Macaca mulatta: one gene and its partners. The protein of the gene in region 2 interacts with the protein of the main gene of each other region in a biochemical or structural test. Links are inferred from orthologs where the notes say so. Each region holds a gene or a part of one and is shown on either strand. Other genes may lie near its edges.

Evidence for each region. The genes of interacting proteins can lie anywhere in the genome.
Region 1: of the proteins of NEDD4L (region 2) and SGK1, one has a biochemical effect on the other in vitro, tested with the Homo sapiens proteins (5 studies listed by BioGRID). The link is inferred for Macaca mulatta from reciprocal best matches to the Homo sapiens genes NEDD4L and SGK1.
Region 3: the proteins of NEDD4L (region 2) and UBE2E3 form a complex in vitro, tested with the Homo sapiens proteins (3 studies listed by BioGRID). The link is inferred for Macaca mulatta from reciprocal best matches to the Homo sapiens genes NEDD4L and UBE2E3.
Region 4: the proteins of NEDD4L (region 2) and UBE2D1 form a complex in vitro, tested with the Homo sapiens proteins (7 studies listed by BioGRID). The link is inferred for Macaca mulatta from reciprocal best matches to the Homo sapiens genes NEDD4L and UBE2D1.
Region 5: of the proteins of NEDD4L (region 2) and NDFIP2, one has a biochemical effect on the other in vitro, tested with the Homo sapiens proteins (2 studies listed by BioGRID, with this or other methods). The link is inferred for Macaca mulatta from reciprocal best matches to the Homo sapiens genes NEDD4L and NDFIP2.

What each region holds. Positions count from the first base shown.
Region 1 is NC_133409.1:39,239,250-39,243,407, reverse strand, and holds the start of SGK1 (serine/threonine-protein kinase Sgk1), read left to right. Parts: upstream 1-1,358; 5' UTR 1,359-1,428; coding exon 1,429-1,957; intron 1,958-2,665; exon of another isoform or gene 2,666-2,719; coding exon of another isoform or gene 2,720-2,795; intron 2,796-2,940; coding exon 2,941-3,016; intron 3,017-3,452; coding exon 3,453-3,528; intron 3,529-3,980; coding exon 3,981-4,085; intron 4,086-4,158. UniProt on the Homo sapiens protein: Serine/threonine-protein kinase which is involved in the regulation of a wide variety of ion channels, membrane transporters, cellular enzymes, transcription factors, neuronal excitability, cell growth, proliferation, survival, migration and apoptosis.
Region 2 is NC_133423.1:22,653,015-22,656,514, forward strand, and holds part of NEDD4L (E3 ubiquitin-protein ligase NEDD4-like), read right to left. Parts: intron 2,817-3,500; coding exon 2,685-2,816; intron 2,167-2,684; coding exon 2,047-2,166; intron 941-2,046; coding exon 743-940; intron 1-742. UniProt on the Homo sapiens protein: E3 ubiquitin-protein ligase that mediates the polyubiquitination of lysine and cysteine residues on target proteins and is thereby implicated in the regulation of various signaling pathways including autophagy, innate immunity or DNA repair.
Region 3 is NC_133417.1:85,866,748-85,870,739, reverse strand, and holds the start of UBE2E3 (ubiquitin-conjugating enzyme E2 E3), read right to left. Parts: upstream 2,523-3,992; intron 2,093-2,522; coding exon of another isoform or gene 2,050-2,092; intron 1,893-2,049; 5' UTR 1,868-1,892; coding exon 1,674-1,867; intron 1-1,673. Other genes in the region: uncharacterized protein LOC144333280, read left to right, coding at 2,050-2,092, 2,613-3,844. UniProt on the Homo sapiens protein: Accepts ubiquitin from the E1 complex and catalyzes its covalent attachment to other proteins. In vitro catalyzes 'Lys-11'- and 'Lys-48'-, as well as 'Lys-63'-linked polyubiquitination.
Region 4 is NC_133414.1:91,527,783-91,531,826, reverse strand, and holds the start of UBE2D1 (ubiquitin-conjugating enzyme E2 D1), read left to right. Parts: upstream 1-1,244; 5' UTR 1,245-1,447; coding exon 1,448-1,471; intron 1,472-4,044.
Region 5 is NC_133422.1:74,318,458-74,322,637, reverse strand, and holds the start of NDFIP2 (NEDD4 family-interacting protein 2), read right to left. Parts: upstream 2,801-4,180; 5' UTR 2,692-2,800; coding exon 2,371-2,691; intron 1-2,370. UniProt on the Homo sapiens protein: Activates HECT domain-containing E3 ubiquitin-protein ligases, including ITCH, NEDD4, NEDD4L, SMURF2, WWP1 and WWP2, and consequently modulates the stability of their targets. As a result, may control many cellular processes.

The DNA of each region.
Region 1 (4,158 bases), on a different chromosome or scaffold from region 2:
TGGACAGCCTGAGCACAATTTGCTCTCTCAACAGGAGAAGGAACCAGGTGGGAGCAGGGCTAGGCTGAGCTAGGCTAGTTGAATGGTGGGACATGACGTATGGGTGGCATTGGCAATAACAAAGTCATATTTTATGACGATTCCGTGCAAAAGGAAGCAGACATAGGCCAGTTACTGTGATTTGAAATTGCCTAAACATTGCTTTAGGTTGGCATGTCAATTTCAGGTACTAGTAAGTGCTTTTTTTAATTTTATTTTATTTTTATTTTTTGAGACGAGTCTCGCTCTGTTGCCAGGCTGGAGTGCAGTAGCATGATCTCGGCTCACAGCAACCTCCGCCTCCCGGGTTCAAGCGATTCTCCTGCCTCAGCATCCCGAGTAGCTAGGACTATAGGCGCACACCACCACGCCTGGCTAATTTTTTCTATTTTTAGTAGACACGGGGTTTCTCCATGTTAGCCAGGATGGTCTCGATTTCTTGGCCTCGTCATCCACCTGCCTCGGCCTCCCAAAGTGCTGGGATTACAGGTGTGAGCCACTGCGCCCGTCCCCAGTAAGTGCTTTTTTTTAAGTGTGGGCATTAAGAAAACGTTCCCAGCCAGACTCCAGGAAAGAGAATGTGTTTCTCTTCTCTCGGTTTGGGACTGTTGCAACAAAGCAAACCAAGAAGCAGTTGAGACTAGAGATCACTTTAGGGCAAGTGGGGGTGGTTTTGCCTGCAAAACAAACCCCTGCCCAAGACCAAGGAAAAGGCGTTTCACATGCTATTCCTGGTTTGACAGCTGGTATTTCGGGACTGTGCCAGATCTAGTAGGCAACTTTAAAATGGCAGAGCCCTTGGCAGCAAGAGGTCATGGCAGGGCAGCCACCGCAGACAGCAACAGCAAGCGCCAGGTACCTGGCCTTGCGAATAGTGGTAACTTGTAACTGCCTGCTCTGGGCCCAATCGCTGCGCTCGCGGCTTCCCAGCCAGCACTGGCTCACGTCCCCGCGCCGGCGGTCAGCCTGCGGCTCCCAGACATCCCCCAGTCGCGGGGTTACTGGAAGGCACCGGCATCGCTGCTCTGCAGAGCCCGGGCCGCCGCCTCCAGCTTCCCTCCCTTCCCTGCCCTGCCTTCTGCAGCAGGGTCACCCGGCTAATCTTTCAGGATAAAGTCACAGTTTCTGTGGGACTCGAGAGAAAGAGCGAGGTGGCAAAACGAAGACAAGCCCTGGGGCAGCCTTGAGTTAAATCCAGGGAGGAGTAGGGATGATTTTAAGATCATGTATCGTGACCTGCAGGGTTTTCAGGTGGGAGAGCTGGAGAGAAGCAGGCCCCATAGAGGAATCGAGGATGCCCGGGTCACGCCAGGTCGGTCTCCGGGCAAAGCTACCCCCTCCTTTCGCTTGTTACCTCCTCACGTGTTCTTGGCATGGCAGAGATTAAAAATGCAAGGAAAAAAATTACATGCGGAACGGACAAAATGTTCTCAGAGATTACTTCAGAAAAAAAAAAGTGAAATGCAGATTGTACTTTTTCCTTTAGAGCAGAGACGACTTTTATTTCCGCCCCCTCCCCTCCACATTCCTGACCTCTCCCTCCCCCCCTTCCCTCTTTCTTTCCTTCCTTCCTCCTCTTCCAAGTTCTGGGATTTTTCAGCCTTGCTTGGTTTTGGCCAAAAGCACAAAAAAGGCGTTTTCGGAAGCGACCCGACCGTGCACAAGGGCCATTTGTTTGTTTTGGGACTCGGGGCAGGAAATCTTGCCCGGCCTGAGTCACGGCGGCTCCTTCAAGGAAACGTCAGTGCTCGCCGGTCGCTCTCGCCTGCCGTGCGCCCCGCCGCCCGCTGCCCGCTGCCCATGAGGGAGATGCAGGGCGCGCTGGCCAGGGCCCGGCTCGAGTCCCTGCTGCGGCCCCGCCACAAAAAGAGGGCCGAGGCGCAGAAAAGGAGCGAGTCCTTCCTGCTGAGCGGACTGGGTAAGCGCGGTCGCCGGCCCCTCTGGGGACTTGGCTCACTTCCCCAGAGCGGCTCGGCTCCTGCCCCGCTCGCGGGCTCGTCCGCAGGGGCAGGCTTTCGTCGGAGTTCTGGGAGCCGGGGTCCCGGCGGCGGGAACGGGAGGACCTGGCAGGCAAGGTCGCGCGCTTCGCCCTGCGCCCCAGAGATAAACCCCAGAGGGTGGCGCGCACCGCCGGCTTGGGCTGGGGAGGGAGGTGGGGGTCCGGCCGCAGGACGGCGCCAGGCCGGGGAAAGGGAATCTGCAGGGAGGGAGTGAGCGAAGCCACCGTGGCCGCCGCGCACCCGCCGGGAAGCGCCTCGGCGCTGCGACCCCGGCTTTCTCGGGCGGCGGAATAAATGAGAGGTGGAAAACTACCCTGGGCTCTCCGGCCCTCCCCGCGCCCTCCGCTGGCGCGTTCCCTCTCTCTTCTGCCTCGGGGGCCGATGGAGGCTGATAACGGCCCCGCGCCAGGCCCTCCCCGGACGGTCCTCGCGCCCCTGCCCGGGGCTCGCCCTCTCAATGGGGACAGAACCGCCCGCCACAGGCAGCACCGCTGCCAGCAAACCGCGAGGCGGTCCGGGCGGAGGGAGGGGCGAGGCGAAGGGCGGGGCCGCTTCTCATTGTCGCTCAGGCCCCGCCCCCGCGGCGGGGCCTCGCCTATAAGGCCGAGCGCGCGGCCCGGCGCAGCACACACCGAGCCGGTCTCCGAGCGCTAACGTCTTCCTGTCTCCCCGCGGTGGTGATGACGGTGAAAACCGAGGCAGCTAAGGGCACCCTCACTTACTCCAGGATGAGGGGCATGGTGGCAATTCTCATCGGTGAGTGCAGGAATCTGGCGGGACTTATGCTCCAGGAGACTCAAAGTGGAAATTTTTTGAAAGTCCGGCATCAGATTAGTGTATGTGGCTCCGGACGTTATGAAGCCGTCTAAACGTTTCTTTATTTCTCCTCCTTAATCCACAGCTTTCATGAAGCAAAGGAGGATGGGCCTGAACGACTTTATTCAGAAGATTGCCAATAACTCCTATGCATGCAAACAGTAAGTTTGACGGGATTTGAGGAAATAAGAATAACTAGTCTGGTTTGAATTTGCCAGCAGTAAACATTCTCATCACGGCGTTTATCGGGAAGGCGAAGACTTCTTCTGGGGTGGGAATCTCTTTTCTCCTTAAATTTTAATATATTAGACACATTTTAAACATTAAAGTTAATTTGCTGTTTTGGCTTGAACTGGAGATGTAAGATAAATGGTTCGTGTTGGCCGAATTCACTCCCTTTCTCCATGAGCAACAATCCTTATTTCTGTATTTAACGGGGTTTATTATTTTCTTTAACTGAGTAATATATTGGGGTATTTTCAGTTTAAACACCGAATTATCCGGGTAGAAGACGGTAGAGCCAGAAACCGACTTTTGATGTTGGTATGCCCCCTAGTGGCGAGCTGGATTCTGAATCGTGCCCTTTATTCCCTGCAGCCCTGAAGTTCAGTCCATCTTGAAAATCTCCCAACCTCAGGAGCCTGAGCTTATGAATGCCAACCCTTCTCCTCCAGTAAGTATTTTCTATGTGCAGTGCCTCTGTGGAGAACTGTAAGGGAGTCAGTTAGTATTCCTGCCTTAATGGTTTAAAATAGCATTTCTAGAATTTAGTATCAAAGCAGGAATGCTTCATTACTTTATGGCATAACAAGTGATAACAAATATTTAAGTATTCAGTCAGTATTATTTTATTTTTTCGTGGGCGTATTTTACCTCCAAAGTGGATTATTTTAAAAGGCATATTTCATTAAAAAGTTTTATCTGTCCGAAACAACATGATTGTGTGCAGTTTCCATACTCATTTGAAATGACTTGTGATGAAATGTAGTTTTGAATGTTTATAGACAGATGTATGGTCATTTGCCTCAGTCATTTGTAGATGTAACATCTTCTACATCGTTTATATTATAACTGTCTTCCTTTGAAGCAATGATATTAAGAGAAATCCTTTTCTTTTTTTCCTAGCCAAGTCCTTCTCAGCAAATCAACCTTGGCCCATCGTCCAATCCTCATGCTAAACCATCTGACTTTCACTTCTTGAAAGTGATTGGGAAGGGCAGTTTTGGAAAGGTAATTTCGAATCTGAAGATCTTTTGGTACACTTTCTTCATGTCCTCATTTTACATTCTCCCTGGATAAGGAT
Region 2 (3,500 bases):
CACTGATTCAGCTCAAGAAATAAAGAACTGACAGAGAAATACAAAGATATGCATATTCACCTCTGATTAATCTCATTTTGCTCAAGATAATACAATGTACAGATTCTTTCTTGGGTACAATTCAGGAGTACATGAAACAGTTGCATGGTAAGAAAAATCAATTTTGACAAAATGATCACAAAAAGGAGTATCAGATTTACAACCAAAGTCACTCCATACATCCCCTATCCCATGATTAAGGGCACGGAAATGTAGCTCAGACGTGTGAATACTGATCTGATGTGAACAGTAAAAACTAAAGTGACAAATCAAAAGAAGGTGGGTAATGCCAATAAAAGTGCAAAAAGAAACTGACAAAAGAAAAAATTATTTGAAAATGATTATAACTCCTATTTGAAAATGATTATAACTCCTTATTTTGTAAGATGGGATCAATTAACAAAATCTTAACAGCACAGAACAGTACCTTTCCATCCAGCATGGTGAACTGTCTAAACTAGAGTTTCCCAGGAGAAAAGGCAGTCCCAGCACCACTACCAAAGACAGCTATCAGCCTATGCCCACCCACTCCCACCCACCCATTTGTGCAGGGGCCAGATGCAGGCTGAGGAGACCCTCTGGAAACACCCTTTACAGTCAATCTAATTCCTCTGCAAGAACTACAAACACTGAGTAAGGAAATCAAGGAATTAATGCCAGACTTCACGATGAAAACGGAGCCAAATAAAAGCAGCAGCCTTACCCAGGTTGTGGTCTTTGTGTTATGATCAATGAAGAAGGGCCGGCCGTTTGGCGCTATCCTCATTTCCCAGCCGGGTGGCAAGAAGCTCTGTGTGACTTTGTGTTGTGGTTTGGGGGAGTTGTAAGGTGATGGCTGTGGGGACTGTGGGTTAGAAAGGGTGTCTTTCACAGCCCGACGTACGGGTGAGTCCTTGGCACCCTAAAGAATAACAATTAGCATTAGAACTCTTCAGCAGCTGCGATTCCAATGTGCCAAAATGTACCTGGGTATTGTAGGAGGCTTCTCTTTGGAGGCGGACAAGAGGGAAGATTCCCAAAACCTGTTTTCTGTCATTCATTTACTTTTAAATCAATCTAACTTTACATTTCCTCTGTTGGATAAACACACAACAATATTAAGTACTTATAATCACCATCCTTTGGTAGCTACTCAGTATGTACCAAAAATACTGTTCTGTACTAAGCATTATGGATGGAGATTTTACAGAGTAGAGAAAAACGTGCCCTTGCTCTTAATGAGCTCACAGTCTAATGAAGAATAGATTGGCAAGTTTTAGAGCACAGAAGAGAAAAACCTACATCAATAAAGACAATGATCTGGAATCTCACAGTTGTTACCCATGACATTCATATCAGTGTGTGGAAAAGACAGCATCCATTCCCACTTATTGGCATCTGGAACCAGGGCATGGAGAAGCCTACAGTTGTCTCTAAGACACAGTCAAGCTTAGGACCTCAAACCTTTGCTCTTTGGCTTCTCTAACTCTGACATTTGTGATGTTAAAGGATGGCACCAAAACAATACAAACACGACAGGGAGCACAAGCAGATGCCCAGCCACGATGCAGATATGCAAATATGCATCAGAAACATGTATGCCCATAGAATGAAAGACCCTACAGTCGAAAGAAAAAAAATGATCAAAGCAATAGCTATGTTTAAAAACTCAATATCAGCACTTGGTATTTGAAAGACAGATTATGCAATTCTAATGAGGTAACAGGCAAAAAGAAGCGAAACACAACAAGAACGGTGGAAGTCCTGAAAAGAGAGTGCCCACGTCCAGCACAAGTCACTGCGGCCTTAGCCAAATGAGAATGAGAATCAGGTGAGAGAGTCCAGGAATGTTAACTGGGCGAGACAGAGAAGCAGGTAGAAAGGCTGCACAAGAACACCCTTCACCACCAACACAACGACTGATCAGAGAGAGGAGGTGGCTGCCAAACTGAAGGCAGAGTTAAGAGAGAAGAAAGAATGGGAGTCACAGGACAGAGTGAGTCCAGTTAGATGAGGTAGCCGTCTCACCTCCAGCGGGGCAGATAAAGTTACTGTTGGCGAGCTGAGGCTACGAGGCCGGCGGATCTGAGGCTCGATTAGATGGTTGTTACTGTTTGTGGCTGATCCAGACGCACCATCTTCTGCAAGCTATTTTGGAGGCAAAAACAAGTTAGCTTCATAGGAGGATCTCCCTGTGTGTGTGATTAGGAGCGCGAACCCAAACAACAACGCAAACAGCAATAATAAGAGGTCTGGCCTATTTAAAGCGTGGAGGAAATAATTAAACATAATGATGGGGGAAAGGATGGGGAAACACATTCAAGGGAAATAAAAATGAATCACTAGCCCAGCATAAAAACTAGCCTCAGATTAAAGGCAGGGGGTGAGGGGTGGGGCAGGGAAGAAGCTACACACTGTAATAGGCTCTTACTTTGAAAATATCTTTCACTTCACATTTTAAAAATGTATTCAGTGATAAACTGATTTGGAAAGCAAATTCTTCCTTAGGCTATTATTGTATTTAAAGTAATGCATTTTCTTTGTGAGACAGCTTTTTACAAATATGACTCTTTCAGAACAATATATAAACACCAGGGAGGGAGGTCGGTCATGTACATTTCGGCTTCTATGGCCTGCGGTTTTAAGTTGGATGGCGATCTTCGTACCTGCATGATAGGTCGAGTCCAAGTTGTGGTTCGATTGTTATGATTGACATAGTATGTGCGCCCCTTAGCATCTTTTCTTTCTTCCCAGCCTGAAGGCAGACCCGGCGTGGTATGTACATAGGCCACTGATGGCTGTTTGTGCAAGAAATCATTATTATTTAATACCTTGCATTTGATTTCTGATCAGTTTAATAAAATAATGTACACCCAGATAATTATTTTCTCTAGACAAAGTTAATTAGTTCTATTTACATAGAAAATACTTCCAAGTGTCTAGAAAACAGCAATAGATTTCCAATAGCTTCAAATCTACTGTGGAATGAACCCCACACAGTTGCAGATCCAAATTCTTACAGAACTTGGTTCTAACACCCCCGTAGTCTTAAATGTAAAGGGTTGCTGCTAAGGTGATCATAGGGGAAGGGAAAAACATTATCATCTGTTCTGGCTACTAAATTCCACTGCCAAACCGGGTAGAGCTTAAAGGTATTTCAAACTGCCCAGTGTCACTGTGTATGAGAGGGATGCTCTGAGTTTCTCCTCGATGTAGCTCCCATGGGGTGCTCTTCTAGCTTAGTCCTAAATTTCTCCATCAGCTTAGGACCCTTACACTGTACCTTTTGGGGCAAAATTTTAAAATCCCAACACACAGCCCCTTCTCTAGGATGCTGACGGTCACACAGTAGCATATAATCTGGAGTACCACCCAGGACATCTGTGTGCCCCAGCTCAGGAAGTCTCCCAGCACCCAGCCTCACACCCGAGGCTGTGTGCACCCAAGTCCGCTGATAGAAGTGTGTTTCTTTGAAGGCGAAC
Region 3 (3,992 bases), on a different chromosome or scaffold from region 2:
ATGGCTGCTTCCTCTTTGTTCTCAGAGGCATAACCCAAATCCCTTAACAGAAACTTTGCAGCTTTTTTTCTCACTTGCTGCTGCAAATAAGTAAGTCATTTACACTTGATTTGAAAAATACTCATCCACTAGTACTCAGTAAAGAATATAATATCTATTTCAAAACACTTTTTACCAAAGAAATTCTCTTTTCAAGCTTATATGCAAATGAGACAAAAAGGGAGGAGGGAAAGCACTGGAATATTTGACAAGGACTTCGAGTGACTTTTACTGAGGTAAAAATTAACAGGCTACTGCAACAGCACATTAACAGTTCTGACAATATTTTATCTGTCAAAAAAAAAGTTTAAAATTTACAAATATCTTTACTGGTGAAAAACTTTCGAAGACTACATGACATTCTAATTTACCCATTTCTGTTTTCCCTGATCATAGGCACAGCACTTAAATTTAGTAAATATTGACAGAAAGAGAAAATACATAGGCCTGAGTTAAGGGGGAGAAAAGCAGTTCTCTGATTTGATTCAAATTTAAGATGCTTTCAAAACTTTAGACGTGTCTAATATGTTCTGCATCAACACTATACCAAATTGAGAAGGATTTTATATTATGTCAAAGACTGCTGCCATTCAAAAATATTCTCAAGTTATTAATACATCATTACTGAGACAATAAAGGTGAAAATCCATAGAAAAATATGAGTATTTATGAATCACCACAGAATGCAGTATTTGTAGAAATATTTTTTCCTTTAGTTGTGATCAATAAAAATTAACAAAATGTCAACATTGGCTAACGCTGTAGAGATTATACATTTTATGTATAATTACTAGAGTTTGTGGATGTTCCACTACTACTACCACTGACAGAGTCTCATTGACAGAATCTTTTCTTCTCTATCAGAAAATATAAATCAATAGGAAACAAATGATCTTCCACTTACATCCAATTAAATATGTTTCTCCTGCTGTTGAGTATTAACTTGTCAAGCACATCCACAAGTTTCAGAGTGAAGAGGTCCAAGGACAATGAAAGTTTTCTATCACCAGTGACACCTCAAATTGTAAAGGGCTACTTTTCAGTTTGATTTGCCCTCACAAGCACAGGGAGGGATAATCATAATTTAACCACGAAAGTTACCTGTGATACATGATTTAAAGTCATGTTTTGTAAAACTGTAAGCAGATTTGCAGCACGATTTTAAATCTGCTTTCAAACATAGCAAAGGCCTGAATTTGCAATTTTCTAGCAAATATGATCATTTCTGATCATTAAGTTTCATGAAGAGAGGCCCTGCTAATCTCTGGAAGTGTCAATTTCATTAAAGAAGATTATGACTCATAAAAGGAAACATCCCCAAAGTACCATCTAATTTGGGTTCACCAAATTTTCCTTGCCAACTCCTTAAACAATCTGTCAGAATGTTAGTCTAATCTCTACTCAAGGATACTCAACTGAAGTTACCGAAGTACAGAATAAGTTTGCTTAAAAGCATAATTCTAGCAAGGTTGCATACATACCACCTAAAGAATGACAACTCATTCAAGTACAAATAAACTGATAATGAAGTAAATATTTCTGAACTATTGCTACTGATGTAAAACCAACAAAAGCGTCCAACCACCTGGAAGACAACCTGACAAAGTGTGCTGGATCCTTCTTTTACACATTACCTTTTAGCACTAGTGGATAACTTAGCAGTGGTTTTGCTAGAGAGTTTGGTGTTTTTCTTCTGCTGGGCGGCAGAAGGTTTTCTTTCCTCTTGTTCTTCAGGCTCTGGAGCGGCTGGGTCTCGCTGGTCCGCATCTGAACTGCCACTGCTGGTGCTGGGGCTCTCATCATCGGACCTTTGCCTATCACTGGACATCTTGGTGAAGTTATCTCTTGGAAAACTTTTAAAGAGAACAGGGGAGGATGGGGAGAAAATGTTAAATCTAGGAAATAAACCAACAGCATTTTCTTCTATTCATCTAATATCGTATTGTAATGAAAAAGCTTCAAAAGTGTTCACACTTATTTCATCATACAACAAGGGTTACAAGGGAGGTGATGTGTCACACAACGCCAGCGTTCAGGGATTTGCCGAACTCAAGTTAGAAAACCCACTCACATTTTTTTCCATCTCTTGGACAATCTATCAATTGTCTACTTTCTCAGAAGGCATGAAACAGATTTGCCAAGGAACTTAGGCAACAAGCATTAATAACATATGACATACTGTAAATAACAGATCTCGCTGAAAAAATGTTTAAAAGTCACTAATAACGTCTAAATATTTACACACTGACATTGGTCAAAGCTACCAAATTCCCTTTCCGAGAGGAAAACACACCCTGTTAATCGCCCATATGCTTATTTAAGGTGGCGATTCCTTCTCAGTGCACGTAAAGGCTTTAAACACAACACTTGGAAATTTAAAAATCAACTAACGAGCTCCTCTAGCTGTTTCCACCGCCAGCAGCGAAGATTCATCTGGCCAAGACCTAGCTGCCACCCTGGGAAAAGCAGAATTCAAACTGCACCTTCTGCAAAGCTCCCAATGCCACCAAGGTTCCTCGCTCAATTTTTACATCACGGACCGACATTTTGTCCAAAATAACGAAAAAAATAAGAAACCCAGAGGAAAAACAAACAAACAAACAAAGCCCCAAGAAGTGCAACAAATTTCCGCGCCCGCGGAGGCGAGCCGCGGCCGGCGGCGGCGGCCACGCAGCTCCGCGGCCCTTTGTGGGGAGGGCCGCGCGGGGGCCGCGGGCAGCGCTCGCCGCGCCGGGCGCCAAGTGATGCGAGCAGCCCGGCCGGCCCCGCCGCGGCTCGCGGACACCGGCGGCGCGGGCGCCCGGCGCGAACAAAGCTGCCCGCCCCCGCCCCCTCCCCCACCGCAGCCGCCGCCGCCCCGGCCGCCCCCCACGCGGCCCCCCGGCCCCTCCGCCTTACCTCGGCCGCCCGCCCGGCCCGCTCGCGCGCCGCTACGGTGTGGGGGAGGGAGAGAGAAAAAAACCCTTCCTTAAGGAAATGGAGGCAGCTGTGGGGGGGGGAAGGGGGGGGAGGGAAAAAAAGAAGCCGAGGAGGCTCTGGCCGGGGAGTGTGGAACATTGAAAGTCGGAGGGGGTTGTGCAGTGCCGGGCTCCGGCCGGAGGGTGGCGCCGCCCAGCGCCTTCGGAAAAAAGGGGGGGTGGGAGCTCGGCTGGGCGAGGGCGCGAGCTCCCGGCGAGGCGGAGGGGACGCGGGAGACCCCCGCGCGCTGTGGCCTCCCGCCGCCGCCGCCCGGCTCGGCTCCTCCCGGCCGCGCAGTCAGCAAGTTCCGAGGCGAACGCGGGGGGAGGGGCGGGCGCGGCGGCGGCGCGCGTGCTCGCTGCTTGCCTGGCGGAGGGGCGCGCGCCGCCGGCGCCCGGCGGGCGCGAGCTGTTCCCGCGCGCTCCCGCGCGCGCTCCCCGCACCTCCCCTCACCCGGGGGGTGCACGCGTCCGCCCGCGCGCGGCCAGGACAAAGAGCGCGGCGGGGACCTGGCGGGCTGGCCCCTGCCGCCCTTGGCCGCGGAGCCTGTGCCAGAGAAGGCGGGGGCGCGGGCACCGTATCGTGGGGCCGCTGTGCCGCGGGGTGGCTTCCGGCCTGGGCCCGCCTCCGGGCGGAGGCTGCCCATTGGGCTACCCGCGTCCCCAGGGCTAGTTCCATCCCGTTCGCCTGCGTGGGGGACGTCGTGGCTCCCGGGGCCCCAGTACCTGGGAAAGGGCCCTGGGCGCGTGGTTGGGAGTCCCCCGCCGCCCCGGGAGACGGGAGACTAATGGGTGTTGTTGGCGAGGCCAGGCACGCAGGCGGAGAAGAGCTGCCACTTGCCCCTCGTGTAAGCTGGAGGAAGGGACAAGGTGGGGTCCTGGGCATTGAAGAGAGTAGAATATATTTGTTGATTAGGGGACCAACCTCTATTTATTTTTGGCTCACAGCTTGCAACTGTCGCTGCCAAAAGAGACCGTCCTTCGGATGCTTTGAAA
Region 4 (4,044 bases), on a different chromosome or scaffold from region 2:
AGTACTGATGAACATGTGAGAACATATATCTTTTTGGTGGAATAATTTGTTTTCAGTTGCATATATAACCAGTAATGGGATTGCTGGGTCAAATGGTAGTTTTGTTGTAAGTTCTTTGAGAAATCTCCAAACTGTTTTCCACGATGGCTGAACTAATTTACATTCCCACTAACAGCATATAAATGTTACCTTTTCTCCTCAGCGTCACCAACATCTGTTGATGTTTTCACTTTTTTTTTTTTTCCTTTTTGAGACAGAGTCTTACTCTGTCGCCCAGGCTGGAGAGCAGTGACTCCAACTCAGCTCACTGCAACCTCCGCCTCCCGGGATTAAGCGGTTCTCCTGCCTCAGTCTCCTGAGTAGCTGGGATTACAGGCGCCCACCACCATGCCCAGGTAATTTTTGTATTTTTAGTAGAGATGGGATTTCACCATGTTGGCCAGTCTGGTCTCGAACTCCCAACCTCAGGTAATCTGCCCGCCTCAGCCTCCCAAAGCCCTAGGATTACAGGCGTGAGCCACTGTGCCCGGCCAAGAAGCCAAGTTTTAATGGGTACACAAGTGCCCAGGAATTGGAGAGTGGGGAGTGTGCGTTGACTATTAGTCAGAGACTGTCAATGGAAGGGAAGGAGTCAACGATGGGAGTGAGAGCTCTGAACTCGGTGTTCGAAGCGGGTAATTTATGGGAGGGGCATACCTATGAGCAGACGATGCACTCAGACACGGAAGATCTGTGCATTGGACAGAAGAGACACCTTTTTCCTCTGCAGTAAGAACCAAGGAGGTAAGTAAGGGGTCTGATAGATATGAGTTTGTGCATGTGTGCTGGGTGAGTAATTGAGATAATTCATATATTTGAGAAAAGACAGTGAAATATTTAAAGGTAAATATAATAAAACCAGCTGTGGCACCTATTGGATAAGGAATTACTAACTGATGATTTAGAAATTCCTTTATGTGCGTTAGGAGCTCATTTGTTATCCCCATTTTACAGATGCGCAGCCCCAGGTTCAGTAACTTGCTCTAAATGAGACTGTAGAGACTAACTCCAGCACCCGGCAGCTCTCACCTTAAGCTGCCTGGCTAAGGTCAGCAGCAAGTAACCTGGCAGCGTCTGGGGGCCTGCGGCCGAGGACAGGGCTGGAACTACACTTCCCAGTATGCCAGGCGGGGCGGGGCGCGGCGGGGAGGGCGCAGGCTCCTTCCCAGAAGCAAAAGCGGAAACAAAAGAGTCTCGCCGGCCTCCCCGCCCGCACACTCGCGCACACTCGCGCTCGGGCGCAGACGGAGCAGGGACCGGCGCCCGGAGCGAGCCAGGGAGCGGCGAACCGGGGACCCACCGCGCGGAGCCAGCTGAGCTGCCAGCGAGCCCAACTCGCGAAGACTCACGCCCCCGAGCCCCGCAGCCGACCCCTGCCGGCCGGTGTCCCCACCGCGATCCCTGATCCATGGCGCTGAAGCGGATTCAGAAAGTGAGTGCCGGGGCCGGGCCTGGGGCTGCGGGGCAGCAGGGCAGCGGCGCCTGCCCACGCTGACTCGGCCAGTGGTCCCGAGAGATATGCAGGGAAAGCACGGGATGGAAGGGTGGGCCGGGGTGCGGGCAGGGAGCTGGAGGCTCGGGCCCGGCCAGCGGGCACCGGACAGGTTAGGTGGGAGCGGGGGCAGATCCCAGGCGGCCGGGGGAGCTTGAAGGCTGGGGGCCCGTGGCGCGCTCGCGCCGGGGCCGCTCCCGGAGCCCCAGGGTAGAGAGCCTCCTCCGCGTCCAGACCGCCCCGAAATCTGTGCTTCACGGTCACGGCTGGGTTTTGCCCTCCATGAGGCTAGTTTTGACCCCTGTCATGCTGTGTTTTCTCCAGGCTGTTTCTTAAGCCTGTCTCTTTTATGTTCTTGCTTACCCGGGCTCCCCGGGAGGGCACGGAAGGTGGGGTGGGCCTGCAGCCTTTCTCCGCGGAGCTGTCGGGTTGGTTCTTTCTCCTCTGCGGTTGGCTCTTGCTCAGTTGCCCGAATGGGCTGGAAAGCCCATTTGCGGCCAAGAAGCCAAGAGAAGGCTCCTGCCCCTTCTATTTTGGTGCCTCTGCTGCTGCCACTTCAGGTCACATAGCTGTAGCGAAAACATAGTTGCTGATACACAACAAGATGACCTCCTGGCTGTGATTCACGGTGAGTCAAGCCAAACAGGTTTTTTTTGCCCCTCATGGTAAACTTAGATGTAAAGTTCGAGACACAACATAAACTGTCGCAAATAGATTGTTTTGATGCTTTGACACATGGGTATAAAATGAGGAAGAAATATGTATCTTCATCCAACAACTGTTCACCCATCTCAACCCTGTGTGTGGAATTGTCTTTTTTTCACAGTATTTATTGCCACCATTTCAGAAGCGAACATCCTTCAGAATTGATATTCGGGCATTTCTTTCTGTTCATTTTTATTTCTTGTTGGTCTGTGTACTGACCCAAGTTTTAGGTTTTACAGTTACAGTTCACACTGGGAACATTGAGAATGTGTTTGTTAAATAGGGAGTGCTTTTCACTAAGTTAAGCAACAATGGTCAGTGTATTTTGTAGTTGTTTCAGAAGAAATTAATGCCCACATTTTTATCTACTTTTTTGACCAGTAGTCCATTATAGCAATAGTAAATGTTAGAGCAGTGATAGTGACGTACACATTGTATTCTGACTAGCCACTAGTGGCATCTTTAGGTACAGAGGACAGCAACTTTTAGAGCCTGCCAGTTTTTTATTTTCAAATTCTAAATCTGTTGATCACCTGTTATTTTTTGTCCCATTTAAAGGTCGTCTCATTGTAAAACATACAGTTAACAATCAGCATCAGCATTTATTAAGTTATAATGTTTTCTTGTTTGAAGATAGTTCAGTTACACGTTGTTTTATATAAATATCCTAATTTTGAAGCCTCAGTCGGCCTCTTTACCATAACTTGCATACTTATTAATGACGACGTAATATTGGTTCACATTTGGATCAGAAAATGCACATCTTCCAAGGAAGTTTTCAAATTCTATTTCCTTCTTTCCTAGTTGTGAGAATTTTTCACATGATTTTGCACATACAAGAGCTTTTTAAATTATCACTGTGTTTTTTTAAGAGATGGGGATCTCAGTATGTTGCCCATGCTGGTCTTGAACTCCTGTCCTCCAGAGAGTCTGGGATTACAGGCACAAGTCACCATACCCAACTATAACAATAGCGTTTAAATGCTGTGCAATTTGTCCACAGTAAGTGGATATTCAAAGAAATATGAACATTGTTTGTAAATACCATACTTGGCAGTTCTCGTCAATCACCATGCTGAACTGGTGTATTTGATTTGTATTTATAATGTGTGTGTCCAAATCTTTTCTTTTTAGTATTTATTGGTTATTAGTTTATAGAGTTGTTCAGAAAAAAAAAATTACTTACATGGAATTGATATCAAACATGTGACAAATCGATATTTTGGAGAAGAAATTGGGATCATATACCATCACATCTCTGTGCGTTCATCTTTGGCTTCCCTTTCTGATATCAGGCAAGTTAACTTACACAAGTCTTTCCATTAATCACACATTCAGACCGTTTCCTCAAACCTTAGGGGTGATTATTTTGATTGATTCCCTATTTTTCCTCCTCCTTTATCTACCTCCTTGATTAGAAGCCAATTCTAGGTCAGTTGTGCCGCCTGCCATATGAACAGTTATACCATCTTCTTCTTTGATGTCATCAGTATAGACATTCTTATTTGAATCTTTCATGTTCCAACAAATGAAGATGTATACTAACTTTTGGCCTTTCTTCCTAAGCTCCTATTGAAGTGTTACTATAGTTTTCCTGTACCTAAAGTTGCAGACTGTAGAGCTGTGTGGAACCTCAGATAAGTCTGCCGTAGTGTACTAGAGGGTACCAGCACGGGAACAGCTTCTAGGGTAGTGTCTTAGAATCACCTGAGGGACGTTTTCAGACTGTCGTCACTTCTATAAATGGAGAGGTGTTGAATCCCTCAGATGGGTTGGGGTGGAAAGAAGACTGAGAACCACTGATGTTC
Region 5 (4,180 bases), on a different chromosome or scaffold from region 2:
TCATTTACTAACGAACAAAACTGAATTTCCCAGAAAATTATGTACCATACCTGGCTTTTTCTGAAATTAGAAGGGTAACAATCAAGAATTTTTGTAGCTCTAAACTGTTAACTGCTTTACTTAATAAATTTTGGGTGCTTTTAACAATGAAAGGAAAGATCACAGAAAAAGCAGTTTCTAGATAAAGCTTGTGCACTGGCTAATGGTAGTAGGTCGTTCTGATGACCCTGAGCATCACTGCTAGCTTTCCAGTATGAAAAGTTGTATTTAAATTCTTTAAATAAGTGAAAAATTAACATTGTATACCATCTCACCCCTAAGTATACTTGCCTATCTCCTGACTTAGTCATCCCTTAACATTCGACAACTCAAGCTGTTTATTGCTCCAGTTTATTACACATTCCAGTTTTCCCAAAAACTGAGCTAAAGGCAACCACAAAATAGTTATGTTCATCATATAAGCCAGAGCTGAATACTGATCCCTAGTTTAAAAAGTCTACTGAAAATGTCAATTCAGCTTTTTCTCTGACATACACTTAGATGTTATTAATCAGGCCATTATAAACAAAACCAAGAGTTATACTGGATAGGTTAAATGACTATGTAAGTTGTGTAACCCTAACACTGTTGCCTTACAAGGAAAACAAATCGATGTCCTACCTACTTAAAGTATTATCTTTAGAGGGACTGGTAGGCATTATCTTTAGAAGAACTGATTTTTGCCCTCTGCTCTCAAGGAACATTCAAAGTCTATGTGGGACACATCATCAGTTTGAAAAAAATGAGGGGAGGGGGCAGCAATAAAATATGTCCATTTATTTTGAAAGGAGCTGTAGGGAAAACAAATATCTTAAAACTGAGAGCTACATAAATTAACAGTGTTTTAAGTAGTGACGTGTGTAGGAGAACATGGTTGATGTTTCTAATCTAACAGGAAGATTAGAAAAATGAAACAAGTTCCACTGCTGATATTATTCAATATTTGTATCATTTTATTTTTGCTAACATTTACAAACCTAGAAATGCCCTTCAAACCATCAAAAGGGTGTACACTTGAAAAATGCTTTCCATACTAGGAGAAACAGTATTTCCCAAGTTGTTGAGAAAAGCTGCTACATTTTCAAAGAATTCGGAACACGGACCTTTTGTAGGTTTTAAAGAATGCAAACCAGTTGAAAATAGAAGCCTCATGAGCTTTTATCTTAGAAAAATGCAAAATTACATACATTGGGATCTCATCTTACAGTGTCCTTCATATTGCCAAAATGTACTTATTAATAGAAAGTCTTGGCTTATAACTAAGTCTTACATGTGCAGATAGATTTGAAAGTTGAAACCTGGGGCTAACATACCTAAATTTGTAAAATTTTATAAACCATAAATTGCACCACCACTGCTATGTATTATTTATCTCGTCTCCCTCAGTAAATGGGCTGAAAGTTTGTAGAATGACATGCTACCTAGCTGCAACAGCACAACAGCACAGTCAACTATTGCTCAGTCCATTTTTAACTAAGGTTTACAACAGGAATCTTCAACGTCACCACCAGAATACACAAAGAAAAATATATTTAAAAATTGACACTGAAAATATAGAGGAACATATTTCACTTTTTTCAACATACAGTTACCAAAGTTTACACAGTTAAGCTGGAAAACCTTGTATTTAACGAAAAATAATTTTTCGAACAAGATTAGAATTTGTTCTACTAAAACTACCTCTGTTTCCCCTCTAGCCAAACAAAAAAAAAACAAAAACAAAAAACTGGGGATTACAAAAAATACAGTCATTTTTAATACTAACATAATGGAAAAGGACAAAAGTCACAAGGTTAACGAGCAGACAAGATCAGCACTATGGCTAGTCTTTCTCTTCGGTTCCACAATTCCTAACCCACATTTTTGCCAAATCCCACTCTACACAGTACTTACACCTTCACCCACCTACCCACCCACCCACCCCATTTATGACGGCGATCACCTTCCGGGCAGGTATGTGAAGTCAGCCCCACTTCCAGTAGACAATCGACTAGAATGTCTCAGAAGTGACTGAGTCAGAGAATAAGAAAATGATAAAGTGAGAAATTAAAACAGATACAAGTTGTAAGGTGTGCGGAGGGAGGTGTCTCAAAGGGGGCTAAGGGTACGGGTGAGGAGCTAGGAGGAGACTTGGGGCGACAGGGAAGGGTTTCGAAGCAGTCCTAGGCAGGAGTGCGCAGGAGAGGCGAGTGAAGCAGCTCCAGTCAGAAGATCCAAAAGAAAACAAAACAAAAGCCACAGCGTTTCCTCTGGGAATAACCTGAGGAAAGGGACTCTCGGGACGCCCCGGCGGGAGGCAGTCCCGGGAAGCACAGGAGGCCGGGAACTCACCACCTGGTAGCGCCCCGTCCCCGGCTGGTGGTGATCCATCCTGCCCGGCTCGGGATCCGGCTTCCGAGCGGGGGAGTTCTCTCCGTGCTCAGCTCCCTCGGCCACCCCCGTCGACGACGTCGTCGCCGCAGGGCCCCTTCCGCCTCCGTTCCTGCCGCCGCGGTCTCCCGGCGGAAGCTCTTCACTTCCTGTGCCTCCCGCAGCGGCCGCCGAGACCTCCGCGTTGGTCGCGGTTCCGCGGAGGAGCACCGGGGCGCCGCGCGCACTATTGAGCATGCTCGGGCCGCTCGCGCAGACTCGCTGGCTCCGCCGGCGTCCCATCCGCGCCGCCAGTGGGAGGGTGTAGCTAGGTGGGAGGAGATGGAAAAGTAAGGCAAGTCCGGGGGAGCTGTCTAGGTTGTCAACCTGTCGAGTGGGCGGTCGCAGAAGGCGCGCGGGGGGCGGGAATGACCCGTCCTTGATTGGTCTTTTCTATGTGCGCGAGTCTCGCGCAGGCACGAGCCAGTGCGCCTTCTCACCACACAGAGACAGAGGCTGACAAAGGCATGGGGCCGCGTTCCTAGAACACCTGAGGACAGGTCTCCCGGGTACCCGACACTTCCTCGTATTACTCACCCAGCGTAGGACGTGGGGAGGAGATTCATCTCTAGAACATTGCTAAAACGCTTATTCAAAAATCATTCGTAAGATAAGGGATTTTTAAAAGACTAATATAGAGTAGTTGTAGTTTACAGCAAAATTGAGAAGTTACAGAGATATCCCGTATACACTTTGCTCCTACGCATGCATAACCCCACCCCCAACCCCGCCATTATCAACATCCCCCACTAGAGTGGTACATGTGTTACAATTGATGAACCCGAATTGACACATCATCATCACTGAAAGTCTATAGTTACCTTGGGGTTCGCTCAGGTTGTTGTATACTCCTCGAGTTACGACAAATGTGTAATGGCAGGTATTCATCATTGTAGTATCCTACAGAGTTATCCACTGCCCTGAAATTCTTCTGTGGGATGATTAGAGACGGGGTCTCACTATATTGCCCAGACGAGTGCAGTGGCTGTTCTCAGGCACAATCATGGCTCACTGCAGCCTCGAACTCCTCAGCCCAAGCTATCCACCTGCCTCAGCCTCTGGAGTAGCTGAGACTACAGGCACCAGCTCTTTGGTTACTTTTTAAATTTTTTTCCACTTTTTGGTAATAAGAGATTTAAAAATCCAACAGACTCTCCAGACAGCTCTCAAAGGAAGAGGTCTCTAGAGTTCTAGGTTACTGGAAGGACGTTAGAAGAAAGTAATGAAATCAGATAGGATTATTTTGTGGTAATAATAATTCCAATGGATTTAACAGCAAGGAATCACTTGGGAGCATTGTTAATAGCATCTCAGTGTCTGGTTAACCACACATGACACGGCATAAAACATATTTCTCTAGCAAGTAGAAGAGTATGACAGAGCAGTGAAAAGTGCCTTTTAACCTGAAGACCAACGTTCTATACCCTCAAAACTATGGTGCTGCTTGATGTGGCCCAGCTATGTTTTTAAGATAACACCACATTTTCCCAAAATGATCTTACAGTGGAGCCCCCTGAAGGGAAGGAAAGGGATCTGGAGCCCCATTTACTTTATTTCCTTCATGAATGTCCAGAGGACATCCTTGAAATGAAGACTGCCACTGGGTGAGCCTAATCAACTGGTTAAAATAGCAAGATACAAAAAAACCCAAAAACTCTTTGCGAGATTGACAACTGAAAAGGTAAGCCTTCCTCGTGGTTCTTTTTAAAGCATTCATCAACTCTTCCTATTT